4 linked regions of the Arabidopsis thaliana genome follow. The protein of the gene in region 2 interacts with the protein of the main gene of each other region in a pairwise test. Each region holds a gene or a part of one and is shown on either strand. Other genes may lie near its edges. The genes, in order: AT3G16160, bZIP, AT4G25410 and AT2G13960.

Region 1 (5,199 bases), on a different chromosome or scaffold from region 2:
CTAACCTGCAACATATACAAGCTTCTAGCTTATAAGGTACATCATAATTTAGATACATGCAGACCATTCTATTGCAGGTTGGGTAGATTTGAAACATGACATGCGCTACATAAGGAGGTCGGATATATACCTGGGAATTGATGCTGTTGTGAGTATGAACAACTCCTTTTGGCTTACCAGTTGTACCACTAGTGTAGACGATCAATGCTGGATCATCTGCACAAATAAAGGCTGAAGTGATGCAGAAAATCCAGACCAATAATTGCTTGAGGTAAGGTGGCAAAAATTAAAAGAGCAGCCTTCATTATAAGTTCACCATCTCAAGTATATTCAAAAACTTACCTAGAAACTTTCCTTCTGCTTCAAAACTGTCATCCTGAAACTGATTGCAAGCAACAGTTTCCGAAGTTGAGTTAACAACAGGAGGAATAAGATGAAATCGAGCACCACTCTTTGCTGCGATGGTTTTCATAGTTTCACTATGGTCCTCTGTGCTCAATAACAGAGATATATCCTAGAAACCGAAGACAACGAGGTTAGATCCCAAGAAAATGTTAATCATTTTTTCTCGAGAGTAAAAAGAGCATAAGGCACACTTATTTTGTGAAACTTGAATGTGGTAGAAAACAGAGCAAACCAGAAAACTTCTGCCTTTTAGAATATTTTCTACTTTGTTCTACAGAGTACCCTTTTTAGTCTATGGAAAAAGACCTAATGCTAGAAAAACCAAGAGCTTGGATCAAAATTCTGAGATCACAAAAATAAGATCAAGAATACCTAACAATTGAGCCGAAATTAAAGCACAAGGAAATAGGAAGGCAAGTAGATTCCATACCGAATCATTCATGACATGTAAGAGTTCAGCCTCAGGATAGCTGAGTGCAAGTGGAACCGCTACACCACCGCTAAACCATGTCCCCAGGACTCCTGCAACAAACTCAGCTGAAGGTTTTGCCACAATTCCGATTCTAGCTCCTTTTAGACTACCAAACCCTTCATACTTCTTAGTTTCTTGACCTCCCTACGAAATTTATAGAAGACAAAAAAAGTCAATAACCATAAAGCTGTAAACAAACTGTGTGATAGCTTCAAGTAGTAGATATAGTAGCTACAATTTCAAACCAAAAACCATACATTTGTCGTATCATCTTTTAAGAACAATTTAGATATCCTCAAAGCAGACGATGTTAGCTGGCCATAAGAGTAACTCTTTCCATCGGCTTTAATCGCAATCCTATCACAAGAATTAGACGCTTCTGAAAAAGCTGCTTTAAACACTTCCATGAGTGAACCAGACTGTGAAGCTGCAACATTTTGATTACATAGATAAAATTCAGATTAATATATAGAAACTACATGTACAAAAAAAGAACAGATTGAGTTCCTTGGAGATGCTGCAAAATTTTCAATATAAATTCAGATCAAAACAACAACTTGTTCAGGTTTTTACGGATCATCAATGTTACTATATGGAAAGCACGAATCTTTAAGACATTTCGTCGAACATGTAACATGCAAAAACCAAACAAAGGTAAAGAAGAAAACTTACAGAAGAGATGGTTAGATTGGAAGAATCGAAACCCAGAATTGGAAAACGAAGTAGAAGCTGGGTGGGATCGAGGAAGAAGAGGAGAGGAGAGAATAGCGTAGGAGTTGTGGTTGAGTCGATGGTTAATTAAAGACAAGTAGTTGAAACTCTTTAATGTTGTCGTAGCGGTCATTTTTAGGTCTGGTTCGTTAAAAGGTTTCGACTTTTTTCGCAAGTCGTACAGTCAAATTACGTAGCCGTTCTTCTTAGGTGGTGGTTGCAATCGCCAAAAGAGAGCCTTCGTGTCGATCATGAAATAGCGACTGAAGCGTTTGGCGACTTTGATTCAGTGGAGAGTTTGGCACGTGGCGTGTTTTGATGATTAAAAGTGAGTGACAGGCGATAATGGGTTATTCTTTAATGACGCTTTATTAGGCATTTTTTTAAGGTTAATTACTGATTTGCTTTTTCTCATTTATTTGTGTTGTGAATTTCTTTCTAAGTATATTTACACAAAATTAAAGACCATCTGAATATTGCATTTTGAGTGATGTGATCCTGACCGTTGATGAATAACAATTGTGGTTAGCTAACATCTTATACATATGCTTTGATATGCATTGATTTTATTATTGTGAAGTTTTGAACTCTAGAGGAAGATTCTATTTAATGCCAACATGCAATTAATAACTTTTTTTTTATCAGTACCTTTTAAAGGGAGTGTACATCTTAGGTCTCCGGTTTGAGCATTGGAGAAGACTAATTTTGTTATATTAAATTATTAATCATGAAATTAGATTTCTTTAATCCAACTCCATCTTCGTCATCAACACATCATCATTCCCTCCAAGATCACTCTCTCTCGCTTTTGAATACCTTCGCGTTGTTCACAGAACCTTTTTGTTTCTTAGAAAACCCCTTGGAGCTGGCCAAAAAAAAAATCGAGAGAGAGACAATCATTCATCGTTCCGAATTAGGATCCAGCATTCCATTTTTGTTCTGATATCTGTCAGCCATGGCGACTCTCCGATACACTGATCTGATCTGATCTATGAATCGACGCTTCTCTGAGGATTCCTCACCGTTCATGCTCTAATCGGTTCGCCAAATTGAGGAACTAACTTGTGTGGCGACTATAATGTGTCAAGGACCGATATGACAGGAAACGCAGATTCCGGCAAAATCGCGACAGAGAAAGACCCTAGGAAGCTCGTTTTCACCAAATTGGAGGTATCTCCCGTCTTCCGAGAATCTCCTGTTAAAGAACTTCCTCTTTTTCCTCCGATTTCTCGGTATTGTTCCAGTTTCTCTGCCAATTTTCACTAGAGATGCTTCTCGTTTGAGTAATTTCAATCCAAAATCTACTCTCTGATCTCCACTGGTCTTGATTTTGAAGCAGAGAGCATTCAGAAGCAAAGGATAAGACAGATGAAGAAGGCATTACTTCGAGGAAACACAAAGGATGTCGATGCAAGCAGTCCAAATGTTTAAAGTTGTAAGTTCATTTCAGGATCCAAGAATTACTTAGTGTTAAGCTGATAGAGATTTGAGTATAATGTTGAATAGTGAGATTTCTATTATCTGCTGTAGATTGATGCATTATTGGATATTTGTTTGACGCTTGGTTATTAGGTACTGTGACTGTTTTGCATCAGGAGTGGTATGTACAGACTGTGATTGTGTTGATTGTCATAACAACTCTGAGAAATGTGATGCTAGAGAAGCAGCTATGGTGAATGTACTAGGTCGCAACCCAAATGCCTTCAGTGAAAAGGCTTTAGGTAGCCTAACTGATAATCAGGTATGTTCTTGACACCTATCACTTTTGTAGGTTAAGCTTCAAAGAGGTATATTTCACATCCTTTTTCATTTGTAAGTATCTGGGATGTTCTGTGTTTTGTATTGTAGTGTAAGGCTGCACCTGATACTAAACCTGGACTGCTTTCGAGAGGCTGCAAATGTAAAAGAACCAGGTGTTTGAAGAAGTACTGTGAGTGCTTTCAGGCTAATCTTCTGTGCTCAGACAACTGTAAATGCATCAACTGCAAGAATGTTAGTGAAGCGTTCCAGCCTCCTGCATTTTCTGCTCACAATTCCCCACAAGTATACCGGAGGAGAAGAGACCGAGAGCTAACTGAGGCAAGTGAAATATACTACTTGCTTCATAACATATATGCACTTTTGGGTTTATCTCCATAAAACTCATTTTTCTGTCCGGAATAGCAGTGGAATTCTTGTCCAGCTCCGTTATTTTCGATACCTGACAATTCCATTCAAAATGCTCTGGGTTCCCCTATGTCTTGCTCTCCTAAACTTCCTTACAGGTTCGATTTTGCATTTCCTAAAATGATAGTTCATCTTCCTTCACCTCATAATCATAAATATTTTAACTGAATTTTCATTGTGCTACTAGAAAGAAAAGGTCCCTCATGGGATACACCTCTACACTTCTTCCGGACTTGGGAGATTTATGCTCACTTCTCGTTGCAGCGTCAGAATCTGCTACAACAACTGCAGGTATATCTGTAGTCTCTTACAAAATCTACACTTTACTGGATCTACTATTCCTTTGGCTTCATCAACATACTTCCTTTAAAATCTCACTTAGAGGACCAGAACAGGATATTTACAAAGCCTGATGATAAGGAAGCCATTGAGCTGTCAAGTGAGTCTGAGAGTCGTAATGTGGAAGAAGAAATACAATCACGTGGAAGATTGATCGAACTGATAGATGTTCAATACAATGGAGAAGAGGATTCCCAATGTAAGACCAAGACAAGTGTCAATGAAACAGATATATACATGGAGCAGGAAAGGGCAGTGCTTGAAACTTTCAGAGACTGTCTCCAAAAGTTCATCAAATCGAGACTGGAATCATAACAGGTAATAATTCCATCTCATTTTGATAATCCCTCCATCCTCAAATAAATCCAATTACTGCACTTTTTTGTTGCTATTTATGACAGGTAAGGTTCATACAAGAAACAGAGAGCTGAACCATAGTTTCTTGATTAGGCATGGAGCTGAGACAGATCAACAATTTTAAACACGAACTAACCATTTGAAACCGCATTAAACACAAATCAATATAGGACTGGTGATAACGACATAACTAAATTTACTCCTCCAGCTTTATGATAATGAATAACCAAATTAATAGAGCGATGACTGATTAAATACTAGTAAGACATTTTCTTAATCTAAAATATTTCTCACTCCCAAATAGCAACCTCCATGAATCCATCCTCAGTTGCACATCCCCTGAACATCCCATTAGAGTTAAAACCACAAACCACCTCTCCTTTATTCGAGACAGCAATGAGTCCAGCGAACCCTTCGTCAAGTCGATGCTTGATGACGTAATCAACCGCTTCTTGGAGGTTAAGTCCTTTATACTCCATAACAGCTGACACATCACGAGCTAGGGTTGCTCTTATAATGGCTTCTCCTTCTCCGGTACACGACACACCACAAAACTCCGACGCATACGTCCCGGCTCCTATCAGCGGCGAGTCACCAATCCTTCCCATCATCTTGTTCATTAAACCACCCGTGGATGTCCCGGCGGCACAATGTCCTTTCCCGTCAACCACAACGCACCCGACTGTCTCCGGTGCGTAAATGCTGATCGGAAGACCGTTCATTTGGATTGGACTGTCGGTCGCAGCTGC
Region 2 (4,088 bases):
AACCGTTCGGTTATTTTTGTATTTATATAATTTCAAAATAAATATTAACATATGGGTTAAATCTTTAATTTATTAATATTTATCTCATAAATTTATGGTATATTTTCACTTAATAATAAATATAAACTATAAAATATAAATTTTATAAATAAATATAATTTACAAATTTTTATATAAACTAATTTTTAAAATAAATTGTCATGCGGTGTACCGCGGATTAAAATCTAGTTGGTTGTTTATCACAACAAGTTGTTGTATGACAAAGCTTCAAAATATAAATTCTCATAAAACTACTTGGGTTTTATTTTGAAGAATCATAGATAATACTTTTCTATGAGTTTGTGCCAAAAAAAAGTAATGTCTTCATTACTTTATGCTTGGTAAGTTAAACCAATGCTTTTAAAACTGATATATTTTTGGCACTAGACGATTTCACATCATAGGAGGAATTGCTAGTAATATCCTCTTGGACATTGATATGAACCCGAAAGTTGTAGATCGTGGAATAGCCAAAACGGACAAAACAAGAGTAGCTGGAAACTAGTAAAAGACAAGCAAGAAATCTCTACCACTAGAGTTTCACATTATAATATTTGCTTTCTAATCAATAAAACCATAATGGTCCATAACATCAGCAAAATAAGTGTTTCATTGTGAGTATGTGATACGTCACTTGAAGCTTTAATTGACTTTCATTAGTTACCCCTTGGAGCAGCTAATGGATTAATTCGCTTAATTGTCATAGAAAAGTATTTTCTCTTCTTACATAAATTATGAATAACAGGGCTATATTTTGATGTTATTGGATGAATCCTTATTCTATAGCAAAATAGTTAGCCGATTAACATCTAGATGGCTAAAATTGTCTTATTAAGATAATTCAACATGTCATTATAATATGAACAGACTCGTTTGCAATTTGATGCGTCTCGCACTCTCGAGTTTTTCAAACATTCATCTATATATGTTTGATACCATCACGCCACTAAGATGATTGGCTTTAAGTGGATCTAGGAAACTTCTTTACTAGCAGAAAACATCAATATTCTAATCCTTACTTTAGATAAAATATTATTTATAACTGCTACTAAAAATTACCGCCTAATAAAGCAAATTTAACCAATCTGATACCCCAACCCCAAGTGACATTCACTCTAAATGGTGAAGGTAAATACCAATATATTTAGAGTATTTATCCAAAAAAAAAATTGCCAATATATTTCATCCCAGCTATAAGATATTATTTTCATTCACTAGACTTTATTTGACTTGGTAAAAACATGTTACCTAATGCAAAATTTCTAAAAGCACATTTTAGCTATCCGACCACAACTCTCGCAATTAGGCTTCAGGAACTATAGTAGTTTTTGGTAAAATTTCTTCATTGTCAACTCTTTAACACTATAAATTATGTACAAGGACTAAAGTCACTTTATGCTACATCATTACCCACAAATTTCATAAACCATTGGATTATCGAATAATTACGTATATAAAAAAAATAAAGTACGCTCTTAAAAAAATTAGATATGGTTGCTCGAAAAGAAACATGGTGCGTCGACGAGTCGCTACCTCTCACGCTTTCTTTGAATAATTTATAATATAGTCTTTGATTTTCTCCGCAATGGTCCCCTTCATGCCATCTACTTACTTTCACCTTTCAAGTGCTTCATGACTCATCAATCTCACGATTAGAACTTCTCTTTTTCTTCTCCTTCTATTTTATTAAAATTTACGTATGCTTCAGCCACTTGGATTAGTTATTAGTGTAAGGTAACACTACTTTCGATTTATTCATCTATAAAAACCAAAATTAGAGTGCATTTCATTGATCTATACCATCATACTTGTCAACAAAAATTTTCTTAAAGAACGCATAACTGTTTTTTTCATGGCTGGTTCTGTCTATAACCTTCCAAGTCAAAACCCTAATCCACAGTCTTTATTCCAAATCTTTGTTGATCGAGTACCACTTTCAAACTTGCCTGCCACGTCAGACGACTCTAGCCGGACTGCAGAAGATAATGAGAGGAAGCGGAGAAGGAAGGTATCGAACCGCGAGTCAGCTCGGAGATCGCGTATGCGGAAACAGCGTCACATGGAAGAACTGTGGTCCATGCTTGTTCAACTCATCAATAAGAACAAATCTCTAGTCGATGAGCTAAGCCAAGCCAGGGAATGTTACGAGAAGGTTATAGAAGAGAACATGAAACTTCGAGAGGAAAACTCCAAGTCGAGGAAGATGATTGGTGAGATCGGGCTTAATAGGTTTCTTAGCGTAGAGGCCGATCAGATCTGGACCTTCTAATCGTCTCGTAAGCTTGTTGGTTTTTTGTTGTTTATTTAAAGAAGAGGACCAAGGTATACAAACATCTCAAATGAATCTATAACAATATAATCAAATATATTTTACCAAAAATATAACCTAAAGAGAGTGTTCTTTAGATCTCAGGTTCGAATTTTGTCATTGGGGGTGTTCAGGGGACTTTGCTCTGTTTTGAATTTCGGACCTATGGTCCAAAACTTTTTGGTTACAAAAAAATAAAAACTATATATTTTCATGTTCTAATAAATAAACAGGTCCATATCGATGTATGCATCATCTTTGTCTCTTTCGAAATGTTCTTGATCCCTGTCTGAACTTGTTACGGGTCTATAAACCAAATATTTCCAAAAGAAAGTGTTCATATATAATCTGACAAGTCTTTATCTACTAACGATATTTAGATTCGGCTCAATCAACGACTATTGTAAAATTTCTAAAACAATAGTCAAATCATTTATCACATTCCCATAAACTGACTCAATTTTATCCAAAGCCAAAACATTAATTATATCCTTATCACTATAGTTTTAAAAACCGTCGTCAAATAATTTATCATACTCCCATAAATTGATTTAGTTTTATTCAAAGCTTGACAAACTATATCCTTATTATTATGATATTACCATAAAATAATTTGACCATAATAATTTGGCATGGACATTCAGTTTTTCTGTTTAGTTTGGTTTAGGCTTTTTGGTTTAGTACAATGAATTTTGAAAATAAGTATCAAATAAAAGCAAATTTTAATTCGGTTTAGTCCAAGTTTAGGTTCAGTTCGAATTTGGATAAAAAAAGTTTCGGTTTTGTTTTGTATTTCTGTATTTTAAAAGAATTAGTTCAAGGTGTCGTAAATTTGAGTTTATCACGTAACGTGGTGGCAATGCATTCTGTTTCACCATTTCCAAAGGCAATTGCTATGCCATTCTGTTTCACCCTCTTATAATAGTTCCATTATCCAAACCATTTCTAAAACTAAAGAATCTGAAGATGATGGGCATAATGAGCATTCAAACGGCGATGGATCTTATCGTCGCCGGTGTCTCTCTAATGATCGGATTTGGATTCTTTGCTCTCATTGCCTCTGTCCTCTGCTCCGTCGCTTTCTTCCACCACGTCAAAGCCGCAACTCCCATCTCCACCGCTTTAACTTCTCACCGGAGATATATAGATTCGTAAGAGACGTTCGCTTTATGTATAAGTTATAAGTATAACCCCTTTTTACATGGATCCAGTCACGTTAAAACCGGAACTGGTCAATGACTTCGTTGCTTTCTATAAAATAGTACGATATTCGATATTTATACAAGTAATTAAATATTTGAGTCTATATCTATATTGTTTCATGGAACGTTTAACTTTGTCTTTCAGCACATCGAGAGGAGAAGAGAAACTCTCACCAAGGCCTCACTAGTTTAACTTGTACGAGGAATGTGTAGTGTGAAAAATTGTAATCAAGAATCAATACATATAAAGTTACACGTTACTAATGTAGCATTATTTACATGCCCATGCATGCATGACCAATTTTTTCCAATGATATTTGCATGACCAATTTCAGAGTGTCACTTATATAAGTATATATAAGTGACGAAAACACCTTTTTTATTGTAGTGAATATACATTATTTCTTCTTGCTAATTGTGAATTTTGTTTTCATAAGACTGCGAATGCCAATAACAGAGGAGACTGAAGCTTCTCTCTATTTCTATTTTTTTTTATATGTACGAAGTAACTCACTATAGTTGCTATTGAACAAGCATAT
Region 3 (4,833 bases), on a different chromosome or scaffold from region 2:
AGTGAGAAAACTTTGGTTTAGTTTTCTACAGTGACCAGCTTTGGGGTTTTGGGCGGAATTAATTAGCCAAGTAGGGTCTAGAAAATGTGATCTTTTAACACATGGCCAAAGTCGTTTATATTTGGTGATTCTGTTTAAAACTCACAATTTGTTTTTTTCTTTTCTTAAATTTTGAAATCATATCTATTTAGAACTAAAGTTCATCATAAATTTTGATGACCCTAATAAATAATATAGCGTCAATATAGAGAACTTAGCTGGAGATATATTGTAAATATGTTGTTGTAACGATCTATTACGAATAACTATTGAAATACAATACAATTATTTAAAAGAGCAATATATAATTGTATAATTTACCACATCATTAGGATACTTCGCCCCAAACACATATTTTAATTCGTTTGAACGAACTTAAATAAAAAAAATAAAAAAAATCATTGGTTAAAACTTTTTATTGCAGAAATAATTGGTTGTTACTGTAGAAATAGCGGCTTCTATTCGCAACCGTCAGATATACAAGTCTAAAGAGATGTCTTTAGTTTAGTCGTGACTCCTACAAGGCATGTGTGTACGATCGCCTGATAGGGAATAATTTAACTTTGCATAATCCATATTTTCCGACAATCATCGAGTTGACATGATTCGACATTTGGTCATACACGTAAATATAACAACGTGCTTCTAATTTTAATTTTATAAGATTAAAACTATCAGATAGTACTTTTTGGGATATAGGAAAAATGCATCTCATGTAATAAAACTATAGCAGAAACGTGTCTTAAAAATAATTTACATAATAAATAGTTAACTTGTTTTATCATGACTATAATATGCAAACATTATTGCGGTTGTACGCATGTAATAATATTACTGTATATAAACTGTTATATACCAGCTCTTATAACTTTAAAACTCTATCCATTTTCTTAACGTAATGTATAGTATAAGTGAATGAAATTTTTCTCTTTTTACAAATTTATCTGGTTTATAAAAGTTGCTAATATCAGGCATAATATGGCTTATGGCGTATATTGAGCATATCAGCATACAACACACATCCCTAAAGAAAAGACTTTGGTCAAACATCCAACGAGATTATCTTTTATAGTATAGTGGCTCTTAATATGCGTATATACATATATATAAAAAACAAGGGATTCGTGACAGAGAAGAAGGATTTGCTTTGCCTTGAAAGGATAACCTTTACCAAAAGGATTATTTTTTAATAATGGAAACTGTGGAGGGATGTCATGGTTTTTATATTCAAAGCATATTATATTGAAATAGTATCTTCTTAAGAACAGTATATCTTTAGCATTATATATCTGATACGCAATGGATATGGACGTTTAATAAACATGTGAAAAGACTAGTTGCAGTGTGAGCAGGTGCAAATAAAAAGAAAGGATCGGAGCCCACATGCGACCATCGCAACATCATCAACGGTTGAGATTTGAGGTTTTGTTTTCATGTATCCGAATCTTAAGACATGGTTGCACTTTCACGTCGACATTTGTCAAATAGTTATATTCTCCAGTTCCTCCTAGTTGTATGAGAATATAATTTTGTTTTAGAGAAAATGTGCATTATGGTTTTTTTTTTTTTCCAACAGTTTGCGTTTTAGATACTAATTCTGTATTTCATGGAAAGAGATGGATTCGCAATGGTATTTCACATAAAGGAAATTTTGTGTTGGATGATGGTATGACAAAAGCTGTTTGGAGGGTATAAATTATTAAGTTGACATTAATTTCAAAAATTTATAATTATGTGTTTTAATTCTCTTAATTAAATAAACTGTAGAGGATTTTATTTTGTTATGTATATATATTGACTATAAGTTGTATTCTACTAGTTTGTTACAAATCAAGCCCGAGGCTCATCCCATAAATGAAATAAAAAAAAACTGATAACTATTTCAATTTTATTTAAAAAAAAAAAAAGAGTAATTCCGTAACCTGCATTATTTGGTCCTCCTACTGTGTATCTATTTAATATTTAAATAATGGTCCTCCCTCTCACCTAAGGAGACATAGAGAACCATCTGGTTCTTTAAGGCACCATCATTCAACAAGTAAACAATAAAGGAAATTAAATTATCACAAGACAGAACCACAAAATCCTTTGGAGATCTGACACTGGTAAAGCTCAAAGTGTCAAACTATGGATCCTTATAAGAATCTTAATCCAAAAGGTTACCAGAGACAGAGACCGTTTAGCTCAGCCGGCGAGAGTGGCGGCAGCGGCGGCTCCGGTACGGCCCATGAAACAGATGACAATAAGAAGAAGAAGAAGCTTCTCCACCGCGACATCGAACGCCAAAGAAGACAAGAAATGGCTACACTCTTTGCTACTCTTCGTACTCACTTACCTCTTAAATACATCAAGGTTCATATTCTTAATTACTCACTCTTTTCTCTCAAATTTATTTACTTTTTCGTTATATCAATTGTTCGAAGAAACCAAGATTTGGTGAGATTTGGCTGCTAGGGTTGTGAATATGTCGTTTTTTGTATTTAATTTAGTTTTGTATTTAATCTTTATTTATAGGGAAAAAGAGCTGTGTCGGATCATGTAAATGGAGCGGTAAATTTCATTAAGGACACGGAAGCACGGATTAAAGAACTTAGTGCAAGAAGAGACGAGTTAAGTAGAGAAACCGGCCAAGGATATAAATCGAATCCGGATCCAGGAAAAACTGGATCCGATGTAGGCAAATCGGAGCCGGCGACTGTGATGGTGCAACCACACGTGAGCGGTTTAGAAGTGGTAGTGAGCAGCAACTCCTCAGGCCCCGAAGCTTTGCCACTATCAAAAGTGCTCGAGACAATTCAGGAGAAAGGGCTTGAAGTCATGAGCTCCTTCACTACAAGAGTCAATGATAGGCTCATGCACACTATTCAAGTAGAGGTATGGTTGGTTACAACATGTCAACATGCCATGTCAATGGAAGTTAATCTAGGGTTTCATTACATTTAACTATATTCAATACAGGTTAATAGTTTCGGATGCATAGACTTATTATGGTTGCAGCAGAAGCTAGTTGAGGATTTGATACTTTCGACGGGGTACTAATCATGCAGAAACATACCATTCGTAGTCCTAAAGAACTTCCTCATCGTATGATCTCTTTTACCCGAGCTCTTCATTCGTTATATGAGCTTAGCTAAATAGAAACTCATTTCCAAATTATTGTCCTTTTTAGATGTGGTATTGAAGCCTTGCATGTTAGTGGATATAAAACAGTATTTTTTGTAGATATCATATGTTTGTTGCTCCAATTATTGTTTTCTTGTTCATGAACTTATATATACTTAGAAGTTAAGAACTAATGTGAAAGTCATATATAATTATAAACACTAGAATTTCACATGGTTCTAGTTCATATATCAATGGAAGACTAATATTAGCAATGTTCGATATGGTGTATTTTTGTTCATGTGTTTTACAACATTATAACTATGGTTGATGTTCTAATGAACTAATCTCACCGTATACTTGATGCAGAAAAAATCAAAGTCTTCTTGAAATTTCGTTATGAGAGCAAGGTGCATAGGTGTTAAAGTTCATTCATGGATTGAGGTGTAGCTTTGGTTTAAACAAGTTCAAGTGACTTCATGGGGTAGATCATAACTTCACCATGATTCGCCGCCGTAAAGACCAAGGGTCTGATGTTTTCAGTAGAGATTTTTTTTTTCTCACGGGCAAGCCATTTTTTTGTTTCCCTTTCATTATAACATTTTGTATCACTCCATTGTTAGGTTTTCTTGGGTTTTCTCGTATGGAAAATAAGTTTTTCTGTAATACATATCCATGAATCATTTAGACCTGTATTAGAAGGAAAATCCGGAAGGGCATAGTAAAATAAAGGCCAATACAATAGCATAATATATATATATCGCCTAGTTCTAACCAGATAAGTATGAAGCAAGGGTAGGTGAGAACCATCTTTTGGGCTCTATAATAGTCAGAATCTGCTAGGTTGTTTCTAGCCTACTATTCTCTACGCTATCAGTACCACATTGGTGAATTAGATTTCGATATTTTATGTGAATTGTTCACACATAAAACTGCGAAAATTGAGAAGTAACATAACTGTTATCTCTACGATATATATCAAAGATGAGAGACTATATATGAAGTAGTAGCACTAACCTCGATACAACCAATCCTTTGGGCGATTCGAAAGTGGTAAAATAGAAGTTCCAAATAACTAACAGATGGTAATACTAACCAGTAACCACACAATAAAAGATCGTTTGAATGTACGTGCATGAGTTGATAACCCTAACACAAATAAACATACATACAAATGCCATCACTATTTTGAAATTTTAAATAACTATTTAATTCATAAGCACAAGGCCTCACATCATCAAATGAGTAAATGACATAGCAAATGTGAAGTCAGACAAATTATTTATACAAGATTATGATATTTAATTACGATATTTTTTTCGGAAATAAGAAGCATATTACAAAATTGCCATAGATAAAAGCCTAAGATTCAATGCAGAGAACCACCTTTCTATTTTTAAATCTTGAATTTGCAAAATCTCACTTTCTTTTGTAGTTCACGATACGACACAGTATTATACATATCCCCAGAATCTTGGTTTCTTTTCTTTTCATACGTACCCATAAGCATATGAACAGATCGACCACATATTATTTAATAAAATCTCATTACTTTAGATCTAAATAGTCACTTTAATTAATACATGTCACGAACTTAAGCGAAGTTGACAGTAGTTCAAATGTTTTAAGAGATACGCATGATGAGTGGTTAAGATCTCACTAATATTCGTTTGATATCTTATATCATTATTG
Region 4 (4,858 bases), on a different chromosome or scaffold from region 2:
CTCATAAACCCTTGTGTAAACCCTAGCAGCTTTGTGTATATAAGCAATTGTATGAATGATCAATAAAGCAAGTCAGTTCGATATCTAATTCTACATCAAAACTCACAGCCAAAAAGATCCGGAGGCTAATTCTGATGACCAAGGCTTTGTCCTGTTCGATATTTCCCCTCACTTCCCCAGCGCTGATCCACAAGTCCACTATATGCTTGATTCTCACAACCGCGGTCTTATCTGTAAGCTCCCTGTTGTCCCTCTCTTTTGGTGCAACAATAAAGAACCTAATGGTGCCGACTTCTGTTGTAGTGCATGCAAACTCACAAATCTTGGCACAGCCTACTATTTTTGTGCCACATGTCGTAAGAAGTTCCACAAAGAATGTGTGGAGTCTCCACTTGAAATCAAACACCCTTCCTATCCCTTTCAATCTCTCCAACTTTATAGTTCTCCCTTTGCTCTTGTGAATTGCATATGTTGTGATATAAGTTTCCAAGACATTATTTATCATTCTTCTAATCACAAACTGAGTATGCATCCTGTTTGTGCGATGAAACCAGTACCCATTTTTATAGACCACACAAAAAGACATCCCCACCCTCTCACTTTTTCCCCTAGGGAAGCTTTCTTACCTTGCAATGTTTGCGGCCTGATTAAAGAATCTATTCTCACCTATGTTTGTGTTCCATGTGACTTTGTAGTCCATCAAGATTGTCTATATTTCACGCATGTCATAAAAATATCTCGTCACCACCACCGTATCATTTTTACCTCTTCTCTTCCATATGGAAAATGGTCTTGCGGAGTCTGTCGTAGGGAGGTTGACAATCATTATGGTGCTTACTCTTGCATCAAGTGTGGTGATTATTTTGTTCATACAAGATGTGCATTGCGAAAAGATGTGTGGAATGGAGAAGATCTCGAGGGAGTACCTGAAGAACCTGAGATAGATGTTGAGCCATACGAGACGATAGCTGATGGAATTATACTCCATTTTTCTCATGACCATCATCTAAAACTCGAGATCAATAGAGTTTACGATGAAAACAAGTTTTGTCAAGCGTGCATCCTTCCAATCTATGAGGGTACGTACTATTCATGTTTGGATAAATGTGAATTCATCCTACATGAAGCATGCGTTAATGCCCCTAGAAAGAAACACCATCCGTTGCATACTCACCCGCTTACGCTTAAGGTCGTCAGTATTGGATACGATCATTACAGAAGAAGAGGAAATTACTTCGACTGTGGTGCTTGTAAGCGTGCAAGTTGTGGTTTTGTCTATGATAGTCAGGATTTCTCACTTGATTTGCGGTGTGCCTCTATTTCCGAACCATTTCAATATCAAGGCCACAAGCATCCCTTATTTCTAGCCTTAGAGCCAGATGAAGAAAAAGCGGCGATATGTCAAATTTGCCAAGAAGATGGTGATGGAAATAACTATATTAGAAAACTAAATTGCATGGAATGCAAGTATATTATTTGTTTCAGGTGTGCTACATTGCCATACAAGGCAAAGTACAAGCATGACAAACATTTCCTCACATTTCGGGAAGGGGAAGAGGGAAGTGATCAATTAGACTGGTGTGAGGTATGCGAAAAGAAATTAATATACTCAAGAAAAGGTGGGTTCTATGCGTGTGATGACTGTTGCACCACTCTCCATGTTGATTGTTTGCTTGGGGAGATGAGTGTATGTTGAAACCTGGTCATACTGTAATGACTTATAGGTCAAACATTCATATTCTTCCCAACAATACCATGACTCGACCTTTCTGCCATCGTCATAAAGAAGATCGTTGTCCACACAAAGTAATTTTCAAATGACATGAAATGACATTTTGCTCTTACAGTTGTTCGATGGATTAAATGTCATCATCGCCGGTGCTTCGTCGTTTACTTCTAGATCTCTACTTTTCTAGTTCCCCATTTGCTTCATCTTCTTGTTGTCTGGTTGTTTACGTTTTATCAAACCACGAATTAAACTCGTTGTTTTCGTTTCTATTCGAAAGAATATTATAATTAGCCCAGTCACATAAATAAATTTTGTAAAAAACACATGTTTCTCGATTCATTTAACCGGTTTATTCCAAACCGACTCGAAAGAACTATAAGAAAAACATTTGAGTCGGTTTTGAATAAACCGGCCGGTGCCAGGTTAACGGCGGTTAGCAGTTATGTCGGCGGAAGAAGTATTCGTTACAATATTTGTTTTAATCCCAATTAGTCTCCTTCTCCTTTCTCTCTGCTCTCTCGTTCAACGGGCAAAGTTTTTTTCGAATAAAGTTTTGGTTTTTCTTTTAACGTTCCCTTCTTCTTCCTCCTCCTCGCGAATTCGCTTATCTGTCGATCACGATGAGCTCAAGTTCGAATCCACCGGTTTGTTCACCGGAAAAGGTCAGATTTTTCCCTGAAATCTGATTAGGGCTTTTCATTTCTTGTGATCAGATTGTTATCTTCGCCTACTTTGGTGTGAGTTCATGGGTTTTAGGTCTGAATCGGAACACGTTTTAACGTGTCTTGGAACAGGGTCTGAATTGGTTTCTAATGATTAGGATTGTATAAACCCTAAACATCCATCTTGTGCTTGAAAGAAATCGACTCGTTTTTTTTGGTGAGATCTGGCTTCTATTTTGCGGCCGTTGAGTTTTTAGGGTTTTGTGAGTTTTGATTAATTATTTGTATAAAGATACGTTCTTGTTCATTTTGTGCTCAATCCATGTTTTTAACGAAAATTCTGGATTTTGGTGATTTTCATGGGGTTTTAGGAGGAAAGAAGTGAAATGAAGATTGAGATTCAATGTATGGAGAATAAGCAACCATTAGCTGCTTCTTGCTCCTCTGCATCCGAAGGCAGTGGCTGTTTCTTCCTCAAGTCACCTGAAATCGCAACTCCTGCCACAGTATCTTCATTTCCTCGGTACTTTTACTATCTTTTACATTTCATCTTCTATCTGTGTGTTTATACAACTTATTATGAAATTGATTGATTGGAAAGACTGTGCTTTGATGACTTACACCGAACTCATTTTGGGTTTCTGCAATGTTTTAATGTTGATCTGCAGGAGGACTAGTGGACCTATGAGACGAGCAAAAGGTGGTTGGACTCCAGAGGAGGTTAGTGGTTGCTTTTGTTTCATTATTTTGTTGGTGTCTGGAGCAACCTCATTCGACTATGTATCTTGTATGTATAAGGATTACTGTTCACTTGAATGAAAGAGGAGGCTAGCATTATTGTGGTCTGTAATTGGTTTCTATCACTATTCAGGATGAGACACTTAGACGAGCAGTTGAAAAGTATAAGGGGAAGAGGTGGAAGAAAATAGGTAAATTTCTTTTCTTGAATCTGTTTCCTGAAAAAGTAGTATTGCAATACATTAGAATGAGATTATAGGTCTTCTAATCACACTCTTGTATGTATACTTGAATGTATAATTTATACATTTTTAAAACTGAACTCGTATCTTAAATCTGCTGAGAATTTTGTGAATTTTTCTCATTCAGTAAACATGATCTCTGCTGTGCACTGTGCAAGAGAACCATGATTTCTTTTTTGTCTCTTAAATGTTAAAGTAGCTGGTTTCGGTCAATGTTCTGTTTGTTTGATTTTTTTGTATTTCATCTTACAGCGGAATTTTTCCCAGAGAGAACACAAGTCCAATGCTTGCACAGGTGGCAGAAAGTTCTTAATCCAGAGCTTGTTAAAGGACCTTGGACTCAAGAGGTTCTCTTATCATTTTCATGTTCTGAAACTTTTTTTGGTTTTCATTTTACGTAAATATTTGGTAGCTCTAAAATTCTCTTCAACAAGTTTACAGTGGCTCCATCGTTGAATCCATCTGTGTACATATGATCCGTTGTCTGTGTATATTAATATGGGAAAAATGTCGAAAAAATCATGAACTTGCAATTTTTGGACGATTTAATCTTGAACTTCAAGGAAGACTAATAAATCGTAAAGTTATTGTTAACTTTCTATATAAATGACGAAGTTTCTGTTGACTTGTCTATTTAGTCACGTCGTTAAATAGGTTTAATAGAATCGATTACGACGTTAATACTCCCGTTTAGCTGCTCTGTTAGAATAAAACGACGTCGTTTCTTTCTCAGACAAAGCGAGATAAAACAACGTCGTTTTATCTGTTACCCAATTTTAATCCCTAAAATCCCTAAATCAAATCGACATCTCTCTTTCTTCTCTTCTCAAACTCGACATCTCTCTTATCAATTTCTCTGTTCGATCGAAATGGCTAAAACTCGTGGGGGGGAAGAGAAGAGATCCGGTTCGTCGATCACGGAGACTGAGTCAAGCATCCGCCGAATCAAATCCTACTGAAGCTGAACCAATTTTAATTCCTTCTGTCGACGAGGCTAATCGAAAGAAAAGAAAAAGGAAGAAGGTAGTTGAAGTAGATATTGAGGAAGATCGTGAGCCTGTGAGTGGCGATGATTGTGAGGTTGTTGGTGACGAAGATTGCGAAGAGGTTTGCTATGCAGACAAGAGAATCGGGAATAACGAAGAACATGGTGGAGAGGAACAATGGGACATTGACATTGTTTCTGTTCAGCAAGAAGACGATAGAAGTGCTGTCGGGGAAGAAGGAAACGTTGCAGCTGGGGTTGAGGAAGAAGGAAACGATGGAGGTGGTGTTGGGGAAGAAGAAAACAATGGAGTTGGGGTCGAGGAAGAAGAAATCAATGAAGTTGGAGCTGTAGGTGTGGAAGAAGCACACGTTGGACAAGATGTTGAAGAAGAAGACGACGATGGAGGTCTAGGTGTGGAAGAAGAAGATTGTGAAGATTTTGAAGCAGAATTTGGAGCACAGGCGAGAGAGGAGGAAGACGAAAGCGATGGTGACAGTGG

Evidence for each region.
Region 1: the proteins of bZIP (region 2) and AT3G16160 interact in a two-hybrid assay, tested with the Arabidopsis thaliana proteins (one large-scale study listed by BioGRID).
Region 3: the proteins of bZIP (region 2) and AT4G25410 interact in a two-hybrid assay, tested with the Arabidopsis thaliana proteins (one large-scale study listed by BioGRID).
Region 4: the proteins of bZIP (region 2) and AT2G13960 interact in a two-hybrid assay, tested with the Arabidopsis thaliana proteins (one large-scale study listed by BioGRID).

What each region holds. Positions count from the first base shown.
Region 1 is NC_003074.8:5,472,575-5,477,773, reverse strand, and holds AT3G16160 (Tesmin/TSO1-like CXC domain-containing protein), read left to right. Parts: upstream 1-2,426; 5' UTR 2,427-2,683; coding exon 2,684-2,820; intron 2,821-2,927; coding exon 2,928-3,023; intron 3,024-3,160; coding exon 3,161-3,329; intron 3,330-3,436; coding exon 3,437-3,667; intron 3,668-3,754; coding exon 3,755-3,852; intron 3,853-3,941; coding exon 3,942-4,045; intron 4,046-4,136; coding exon 4,137-4,408; downstream 4,409-5,199. Other genes in the region: AAE13 (AMP-dependent synthetase and ligase family protein), read right to left, coding at 1-5, 131-216, 343-514, 836-1,021, 1,135-1,304, 1,550-1,721; ASPGB1 (N-terminal nucleophile aminohydrolases (Ntn hydrolases) superfamily protein), read right to left, coding at 4,741-5,199. UniProt on the Arabidopsis thaliana protein: Plays a role in development of both male and female reproductive tissues.
Region 2 is NC_003070.9:25,892,719-25,896,806, reverse strand, and holds bZIP (basic leucine-zipper 8), read left to right. Parts: upstream 1-1,750; 5' UTR 1,751-1,891; coding exon 1,892-2,308; 3' UTR 2,309-2,836; downstream 2,837-4,088. Other genes in the region: AT1G68877 (chaperonin 60 subunit beta), read left to right, coding at 3,314-3,502.
Region 3 is NC_003075.7:12,983,606-12,988,438, forward strand, and holds AT4G25410 (basic helix-loop-helix (bHLH) DNA-binding superfamily protein), read left to right. Parts: upstream 1-2,055; 5' UTR 2,056-2,166; coding exon 2,167-2,391; intron 2,392-2,553; coding exon 2,554-2,913; intron 2,914-2,997; coding exon 2,998-3,078; 3' UTR 3,079-3,123; intron 3,124-3,510; 3' UTR 3,511-3,916; downstream 3,917-4,833.
Region 4 is NC_003071.7:5,857,334-5,862,191, forward strand, and holds AT2G13960 (Homeodomain-like superfamily protein), read left to right. Parts: upstream 1-2,157; 5' UTR 2,158-2,349; coding exon 2,350-2,391; intron 2,392-2,762; coding exon 2,763-2,914; intron 2,915-2,970; coding exon of another isoform or gene 2,971-3,059; coding exon 3,060-3,111; coding exon of another isoform or gene 3,112-3,210; exon of another isoform or gene 3,211-3,262; coding exon 3,263-3,320; intron 3,321-3,623; coding exon 3,624-3,772; 3' UTR 3,773-3,978; downstream 3,979-4,858. Other genes in the region: AT2G13950 (Cysteine/Histidine-rich C1 domain family protein), read left to right, coding at 203-1,687, 1,848-1,916.